2 linked regions of the Caenorhabditis elegans genome follow. The protein of the gene in region 1 interacts with the protein of each later gene in a pairwise test. Each region holds a gene or a part of one and is shown in the gene's direction. Other genes may lie near its edges.

Region 1 (4,154 bases):
TAAAACTTTTCGCAAAATTTTTGAAATAATTTTTATACAGTCAAAAGGAATGAAAACTAAGAGTTTTTCTATATTATAATTTTGGAAGTAGAAAAAATGTTACATTTACCAGTTTCATTTTTTAGTTCCGTTTCAAAGAAAAAAATTTAAATAGTTTGGACCTACAAATATGCTTGAAATAACTCAAAAATACGCATTTTTGGCCAATTTTGGCAATTTACTAATGTGCGGCCATGTTAGACTACTTGGAGTTTATTGAGACTAAATCTCCAGTGGCAATATTAAATCTGTAACACGTTTTTTCATTTAATTGAAATATGCAAGTTCTTCAAAACGTAGGTTTTAAAAGTATTTATTTACAATAAGTAAAAAGATTTAAATGTTTAATTTTCATAGAAAATAATGCTCTATAACGGCTATCTATTATATATATAGTGAATAGTGCAGTGAAGGAGAATATGAAAATTCACCTATTAGCTGAGTATCAACTCACAACGTGGGTACGAAAAAAACTTTGTAGTTTTTACTTTTCGGAGTATATAGGTAATTGTTTAACTACTGCCAATAAATATGAGTACAACTTCTATATTACTCCACATAGAAACCCCAATAGATCATTAATTGATCGACTATCAACTTTCAATCAGGCCATTTTCGAAAATTTTTCTCATTTTGAGAACTTATGTGCAGGAGACACCTTCTGTTCATAGAACACAATGGAAATCAATCGGTTTTTTCATAACAGTTGCCGTTGTAGTTTCTTCTCTTTTTTCTATCTTTTTTGCAACTTCCACATGAAAATTGCATTACGCACTGTGTCTGTTTATTCAGGCTTAGTTTCAATTTTAAACTGTTTGCAATAGACTTTAATGTAATTGCTAGGTTTAAAAGCCATTGACAACTAAAATTGTTTTCTAAATTGAACATAACTTGTAAATTGTCTCGTTCAAACCACCACCGCAAGTTAGCCAACTTTTCTTGTTCTGAGGCTAGATGGCATATCGGTAGATACTATCAGTGTCACAATTTGCCGGTCAAAAAACCGATAACGAAATAGCGGAGATCTTTTAGAAACTGCAGACAGACTGGGGAGTAATGGACGATAAAATAGAAGATAGGCTAGTTGGAAGGCGCATTTCTCATCAGAATCGTGTACTTTGTGTGTAACTCATTCTCATTTTTGTCCAAGTTCTAATAAGTTATCTTATTACATTTGAATTTCCACGCCTGATCGTTCACTTTTCTGGAAACTCATCGCTCCCACTTTCGAAAATCGTATTTTTACTATGAATTTTTCAAGTTCTACGATTTTAAAGGGAGGAGCATTTATGCGGATTGGTCTCGCCACGCGCCAGCCATTGATTGAGAAAAATATATCAATAGACGGCTCTTGGCGAGACCATTCCGCATAACTGCTTCCCACTTTAAAATCGTAGAATTGGAAAAGAAATACACAGTATTCATCAAACAATCAGCCATTATTAATATATTATTCAAAATATTATTCAAAATAGCATTCACTAATTTGTGTTTGAAGGAGGTACTTCCACATTTAGAAACTTGCAAATTTTATTCTTGGTTTTTTTAAACGTTCATGTTTTTTAAGATAGCAACGGTGTTTTAAAAACTTTCCGCTTCTGTCAGCAAAGATTTATGATCGATAAAATCTTAAAACACGTTGCAACGACACTCCGATATCCCATGCGATCGTTGTTTATCAAAAATGTCTTTCGGCCGGAATTTCAAATTACAACGTGGATTTCGTGGAAATGTATTGTCCTAAAACACAAAATATCTTGGCTTTACAGCGTTATTCGTGTTCAAAAAAGCACGAAAACGGTTTTTTCGCACTCTTTCTTTGCCAATCTTCTTATTTGTTTTCTCTTATGTCTATTTACTCGTTCAAAACTCGCCTTTTTCTCACTTTTCATTTTCTAATTGTCTATCTGCAGGTAATCCCATCTCCTCACGTCACGGAAATGTCTCCTCTGCCAGAAAACACCCTCATCGGAATGTGCAATCCATTGTTGGACATTCAAACCACCGTTGAAAAGGTAAGTTTTTGATTTCTCTAGAAATCTAGAAGCACATTCAAAAATATTTCATTTTAATTGCTGAAATCTACAGGCATTCCTTGACAAATGGGGACTCAAAGAAAACGACGCCATTCTTTGCGACGACAAGCACAATGACATGTTCACCGAGCTTACCAGAGATTTCAAAGTCGAGTACATTCCAGGAGGAGCCGCACAGAATTCGCTCCGTGTTGCTCAATGGATTTTGAACGCACCAAACCGAACAGTTTTCTTTGGAGCTGTTGGTAAAGATCAGTACGGAGATCTTTTGGCATCGAAAGCCAAAGAAGCTGGAGTGAATGTGCATTATCAGATCAACGAGACAGTTAAGACCGGTACCTGCGCAGCCCTCATCAACGGAACTCATAGGTAAGCGGATCATTGTTTGACGGACAGAAAAATCATCGTTGCCGTGTTGAAATGATTTCAGATCACTCTGTGCTCATTTGGCTGCTGCTAACACCTTCACTCAAGATCATCTCCAGAAGGAGGAGAATCAGAAGATCATCGAGCAGGCCAAATATTTCTATGTCACTGTAAGTTATCGAATTGATTTACAAATAAGCACAAAAGTATTCTCAATGTAAAATTTTCAGGGATTCTTCATCACTGTCTGCCCACCAGCTATTCTCCAACTCGCAAGCCACTCTGCCGAATTCAACAAGACTTTCACCCTTAACCTCTCCGCCCCGTTCATCTCCCAATTTTTCTTCGATAAGCTCTCGGAAATCATTCCATTGGTCGATGTTCTTTTCGGAAACGAAGACGAAGCTGCTGCCTTTGCTAAAGCCAATGGATGGGAGACCACCTGTGTCAAGGAGATCGCTTTGAAGGCTGCTGCACTTCCAAAGAAATCTACTAAGCCAAGACTCGTTGTTTTCACTCAAGGACCAGAGCCAGTCATCGTCGTGGAAGGAGATAAGGTGAGAGTTTTTGATAATTTTTGAATTTATTGTTTTCAATTTTAATCTACAGGTCACCGAATTCCCAGTAACTCGTCTTCCAAAGGAAGAAATCGTCGATACCAACGGTGCCGGAGACGCTTTTGTCGGAGGTTTCCTTTCTCAATTCATCCAAGGAAAGGGAGTCGAAGCTTCAGTCACCTGTGGATCTTATGCTGCTCAAGAAATCATCAAGAAGCACGGATGCACAGTGCCATCTGTTTGCAAGTACCATTAAACTGATAAAATAATCTGTGATCCCAACTTTCTCTGCTTTCAATTTCCCAGTCCCCTGGTTTATAGTATATCAAATTGTTCTTTGTTTTGCTCCCCATTCCCCGTCCTCGAGCATCCCTATTATTCGAAATTTTTCTTTTGGTGTTGTTTTTTTTGTCAAATGTTCCCAAAATGTGCCTTATAATTCATTTATCAGGTGTTTTAATAAAATGGCAAAGTTTTATTCTTCATCCATGTCGATTTGAATTGGAATCTTCTTCCCCTTTTCGACAAAGCCAATCAGATCCAGAACCAGAACGACACTGCCACGGCTGAAATAAAGTTTGTTGCATATTTATCAGGACTAGAGGAATATGATTACTTACAGTTTTGGTAAATTGTAAAACTGTTAGTGATCAACGTCACTTTTCCGAACACGTCGAAGTTTCTGTACGCCGTTCTTATCAAGGAAAGCAAAAAGAACATTAGTTGATTTGATCAGTTGTTCCGCTGGTAGACCTTCGTAGTTCTCATGAAGGACATTGATTAGAATGCTCTTCACATGAGCAGACAATACACTGTCAATGAAAGCAATCGGTCTGGAACTTACTTATCAATTGCTCATTCTGAAAACGAATCAAACCTGAGTTTATCTCGGATGATTGGTCTCTCGATGACAACTACTTTGACATTTACACATCCGTTTTCATCCTGAAATTTAAATATGATTCTTTGTTCTATCTCAAATAGTAAAGAAATATTTCCAACTTACCAAAGATCCTACGTTCTTGAACTTTCTATGTGGAACCTTTGAAGAACGGCTACTTTTTCGAGATTTCTTCGATGATTTTTTCGATGTGTCCGATTTCGTCGGTTCAGAATCATAGCAAGTTGTAGATGTTGGAGCGGAAGAAGAAGCAGT
Region 2 (5,094 bases), on another chromosome or scaffold:
AAGGAATCGCTGAAATTGCATGTGCATTCTCTCCGAAGAAGGCAGTTGCCACTGGTGACTATCATTCCGAAGATCCCAAACATCTTTATGTGACACGTGGCGATCATTTATTGATTGTGGAAGATGTTGATGACTACTATTACAAGGGAAAATTGGAAGCTTTCAAGACTTTGCCAGCGGGTATTCTGCCAAAGAATATTGTCAAATTGGAAAATTGATTCTGGTCTTGATTATTTCTCACTAAATTCACTTTCTAGCTTTATATGTGCCAGTTTTTTGTATTTTCTAATATGTCATTTATTTACAAAATTCAAATTTTCCCCGATGCGTGTTTTGTGCCGATTGTCAAATTTTCTAGAAATGTATTTTCAATAAATTGCCTTATCAAGTGTGGGCCTAGCGTTTCCAATTAACGTTTGTAGATCAATTTCAAATAGCTCATTTCTCTGCGTTACTATAATAGTTATTTTGTGAACTTCCAAAACTTCAGAAAAATGTTAAAGTAAATTTATTGAGGAGAATAATGAATTTGAAGAATTTGTTACAATATGATGAACGTAATATTATGTAGGTTCGATTATTCAAATATTTATACGACACATTCAATTTTAGTAGACGAGAAAAATCGGCTTGGTGCATCCAAATATTCTGTAGTGTTTCCTGATTTATCTGCAGAGTATCCACAAATAGAGAATACTTTTGGAGAACCGAGTGATACATCTAGATATTTTTGAGACTTCTTCGGGCGATAGCAGCACAGAATACAGTTGAAGATAATGAGCAGGAGCACGAAAAATGCAAGAGAGGAGTAGATGATTATGCTGAAAAATTATTATAATTTTAGAATTATTGGGAATGTAAAAACTTACTCGTCACTTATTTTGAAATCAAATTTCAAAACTTGAGTTTGGTATCCAGGTGTTGAAGTTTGAATATCAGATTTTGGAGCAAAAGTCCGTGAACGACGATCACAAATTGGACCGAAATATCCATTTTCACAATAAAAAGTTGAACGAACCGAAAGAATAACCTTATCAGTATCGATAACTTTTGAATCCCAAAGTCCATTATTTTTCAATTGGAAAATTTGAAATTTAGCCTCTGATAATGCTTTACCAGAGAAATGATGAAGTAGTTGGAAATGAACTGGAATCTCATTAATAGAACCTTGAGTATAGATTTCCAATGGTCGGGATTCGTATGCTAGAAGGCGCACTGTTTCAGAATATGTTGAAGAATGTTCCAAATGAAGGAGACAGTCTCTGTCGGCTGTTAACTCAAATTTGAGAAATCCAGCGGACTCGGTGTTTGGGAAGACGAAGAAAAGAATAGCAGCGAAAAAGATATATCTCAACATTATTAAATGAATAATGACTAATTGTTCAGAACTCGGAGTTCTTATATACCAATTCTAGAACCACTAGACCACGCCCCTTTATGCAAATTTGTCATTGTGATGATTATTCACATCTTCTCATGCTAACTGGATACTTAGCAAATGATTGTCATCATATCGGATATCTTAAGATCTTAGCTTCTTGAACAAAGGAATTATCTATGCCACTGTATACTGTATACTTTTTTGTATACTTGGGAGTATACTTTGCACATTGTCTTTTGGTTTGCCGACGAAACAAAATTGAGATAGTATGTCAAGGAGCTCGAATTCAAATGAAAAATCACACCGAATGAAACTATTGAATCAGAAAGAGGGTCCCCTATAAAACCAGAATTTAAACCACCTCCGTTTTTAGCACGAGGACTAACTTCGCTGGCATAACAACTGCAAAAAGTTCAATAGCGCGCGCTTGTGGAAAGTTCGTCCCCGAAGTATTTATTTATTTTTCTGGCTTAGGAATTTTGTTTATTTTTTCATTTTTCGAAGTTTTTGACTCATGTTCTGTTAAATTATATTTAACCTATTTGAAATATTAATTCTCTCAATTTTATATGGCAGCCAATGAAGACAGAGATGATGCAGCTGCAATTCTCAACTGGGAAGGGACTGTTAGTTTTCTAAAAATAAATTTTTCACAATTCTATTCATTTTTTTTTTATTTCAGAGCGAAATCAAAAGTGCAAATGAATACAGTAGGAATCTTCTTTTCTCAGTGCTCGACTCCTTAGACGGGAATAAAACAATTGTTTGGGATCGGGATAGGAGTGTAATGCACAGAGTTAATCTGGTTAGTAGAAAATATATTTTAAAGTACATAAAATTGAAAAAAAAGTTTTAATTTCAGTTTGCCGGTGCATCAGTTCTTGCTGCCCATGGAGTTGTTGCAAATCATTCAATCGAAACCAAAAAGTCCGCCTCCACTCCACACGTCGTTTTCTTTTTGGCTCCGACAATGGTTTCACTGGATTTACTATGTGATTATATTGATAACGTGCGGAATGACTCGGTAAGAAAAGAAAAAATTCTAACAATTTTACACTAAAATGTTCAGAAAATCCTGTACCAAGTGTTCTTCATTCCCGAGGCGTGGTTTGTCGTTCGAGAAAGTCTGAAAACGAGGGCAGAAGGAAAAGTATTGTTTGACAAAAGTTTATTATAATCAATTAAATATCTTTCAGTATTGGGAACGTTTGGAATCGGTAAAAGAAATTCCATTGTGCTGGTTGCCACGAGACGGCGAATGTCTATCACTCTCCAGTCCTCAAATAGCTGCAAGGTATTTTTTAGCTGATTAAATTATTTAAAAACGTCTTATTAATACAGATATTTTCAAAAAAATCATTTCTAAAACGTAATTTAATATTTCCAGACTTCTGATAAACGGAGATTGGACCCATCTACATAAATGCGCTGTTGCATTAAATCAACTAATTGATATGTGTCGTGGACGTTCTTCATCATCAAATCAACGTCCAATGTCAATATATGCAAAAGGAAAATGGGCTTCAGACGTTGCCAAAATGATGGGAAAAATTAGAAATTCTGCTGAAGCGGATAGTATGACGAAAAATCTGGATCCAATTGAAGGTCTTCTCAAAATTAATCGAATCGTTCTAATCGATCGATGGATGGATCCACTCACACCAATGCTCTCTCAGCTGACATTTTATGGACTTCTTGATGAGATTTATGGAATTGGAATGGTGAATTCTGTAAAAGTGCCAGAAATGGAATTTAAAAACGAAAAAGATGGAGATCCGTTTCAAGAAAAAGAAGTTTATTTGATTGATGAGGTGTATCATAGACTGAAACATTCCCATATTAATGCTGTCAGTATTGAAGCATCAAAAGTTTTGGCTGAAATTAGAGATGACGAACAGGTTGGTTATTAACACTGATCACAAAATATTTATTTTTAAATTTCAGTTCGATCGAGATAAGATGTCAGTTGCTGAATATTCGGTTTTAGTCAAGAAAATGCCAAAAATTATTAATCGAAAAAAGATGATTGAAGTGCACATGCGACTTGCCGAAATGATTCAATCACATGTGTACTGTAAGCAGTCGGATTCGATTAAATTGGAACGAGGTTCAAAATTCTAATTATTTTTCTGTAAGTATTTATTATATTTCAGATCTCCTTGAATATTCTGACAGCGATAAAGCGATTCCACTAATCGAAGATCTCATCTTTGATGCTTCTCCATTGAATGCTGTTCTTCGCCTCATTTCAGTTCATTCTCTGACATGTGGTGGCCTGAAACCATCAGTTCTCCAACACTATCGTCGAATTGTCAATCAAAGTTATGGATCTTCAGCTTTGAATAAAGTTCTGAAAATGCAGAAAATGGGATTGATTCGTGAAAAAGGAGGTGGCGGAAAGATGCAATGTGAATATGCTCAAATGATGTTCCAACAAATGAAGAAAAATCACGATATGTTGCCAGAAGAGTTCAGTGAAGCAAAACTTGATGATATGGCCTACGCCTACAGTGGATTCTCACCACTTTTATGTAAAATGCTTGAAGAAGGAGATCGAGTGAAATGGGTCGGCTGGCCAAAAACTGTAATTGGAGATAAATCAGATTTGATTGCTGAAAGAGATGGCAGAGGGACCTGTGTGTTCGTTATTGGAGGACTAACACGATCGGAATTGGCAATTATTCGAGAAAATCTTCCGAATGTTGCACTTATCACTACAAGTGCATTGATAACTGGCGATAAGCTTCTGAATAATATTACCAATATTTAAAAATGATTTCAATGTATATCGTTTACCCAAAATCGCGATTTTTCCTCACTATCATATGTTTAATTCCCAATTCCACTCTGTGCCTTATCCAACTGGCCCTACCAAATTCAATTATTGCCTGTGATTTCATTTCTTGTGAGTATACGTTGTATTTTAATGTTTTAAAGTTGAAAATAGAGAGCTGTTTATTGAATTCATAAAACTTATTTACATTATCATAATCATCATCACCGTGAACAATAACAATCACGAAATCAATCGTCGTCCGACTCGCCCGTAGAGAAACAATTTGAAATGCGACTAATTAATTGAGAATTACGGGAATTTCAAACGAAGAGCACTCATCGAGACTTGATTTCCACGTACAAGGCATGTCGGGGGTGTCTGACGGGAGAGCATATCGATCCATCCGAGATAAATTGGTGATGGGATTTCAGGACGAGCTGATGGAAGAGTACTGTAACTATGAATATGAAAAATTGAAAACAAATCAAATCTCACCAAACAATCAGATCAGCATCTGAACTGTGTTCTCGAATAAGTTCCGATGCACGCAAGAAGCTTCTAGTCTTCTCTCGCAAATTGAATATTTGATTCTGAAAATTCAAAATTCTGAGTAACGCATGTGCTCTAATATAGATAAACTCACATTATCAAATGATCCGTCTACAGGCTCACCACTGCTGCTGGTTTCCACCTTGTATTTGTCAATTTTTGCTCGGAATTCATCGTATCTATAGACATTTTTAACACTTTAAAATCTAGGAAGATCTTGAAACTAACGTCTGTTTGCACGGAGGTTTCGAAAATTCTGGAAGAATATGAAGATCTGAAGAGTCGATATGGAACTTTCGAAGAATTGCAGCCATGTTCTTTTGTTCCTCGTTTATCTGAAAATTATCCGCTACAGTAATCCGAAGTAAGCTTGATTCCAAACTATTTC

The links.
Region 2: the proteins of adk-1 (region 1) and vps-33.1 interact in a two-hybrid assay, tested with the Caenorhabditis elegans proteins (one large-scale study listed by BioGRID).

The regions. Positions count from the first base shown.
Region 1 is NC_003282.8:11,208,630-11,212,783, reverse strand, and holds adk-1 (Adenosine kinase), read left to right. Parts: upstream 1-1,952; 5' UTR 1,953-1,979; coding exon 1,980-2,054; intron 2,055-2,127; coding exon 2,128-2,444; intron 2,445-2,505; coding exon 2,506-2,611; intron 2,612-2,671; coding exon 2,672-2,998; intron 2,999-3,050; coding exon 3,051-3,254; 3' UTR 3,255-3,475; downstream 3,476-4,154. Other genes in the region: R07H5.9 (Kinesin motor domain-containing protein), read right to left, coding at 3,642-3,831, 3,876-3,943, 4,005-4,154.
Region 2 is NC_003281.10:8,698,977-8,704,070, forward strand, and holds vps-33.1 (Vacuolar protein sorting-associated protein 33A), read left to right. Parts: upstream 1-1,950; coding exon 1,951-2,007; intron 2,008-2,063; coding exon 2,064-2,186; intron 2,187-2,243; coding exon 2,244-2,405; intron 2,406-2,450; coding exon 2,451-2,531; intron 2,532-2,577; coding exon 2,578-2,675; intron 2,676-2,768; coding exon 2,769-3,279; intron 3,280-3,325; coding exon 3,326-3,488; intron 3,489-3,534; coding exon 3,535-4,151; 3' UTR 4,152-4,365; downstream 4,366-5,094. Other genes in the region: B0303.7 (SH3 domain-containing protein), read left to right, coding at 1-218; sdz-1 (Skn-1 dependent zygotic transcript 1 protein), read right to left, coding at 590-821, 870-1,357; Solute carrier family 12 protein B0303.11, read right to left, coding at 4,467-4,608, 4,653-4,747, 4,801-4,885, 4,935-5,041. UniProt on the Caenorhabditis elegans protein: Plays a role in vesicle-mediated protein trafficking to lysosomal compartments including the endocytic membrane transport pathways.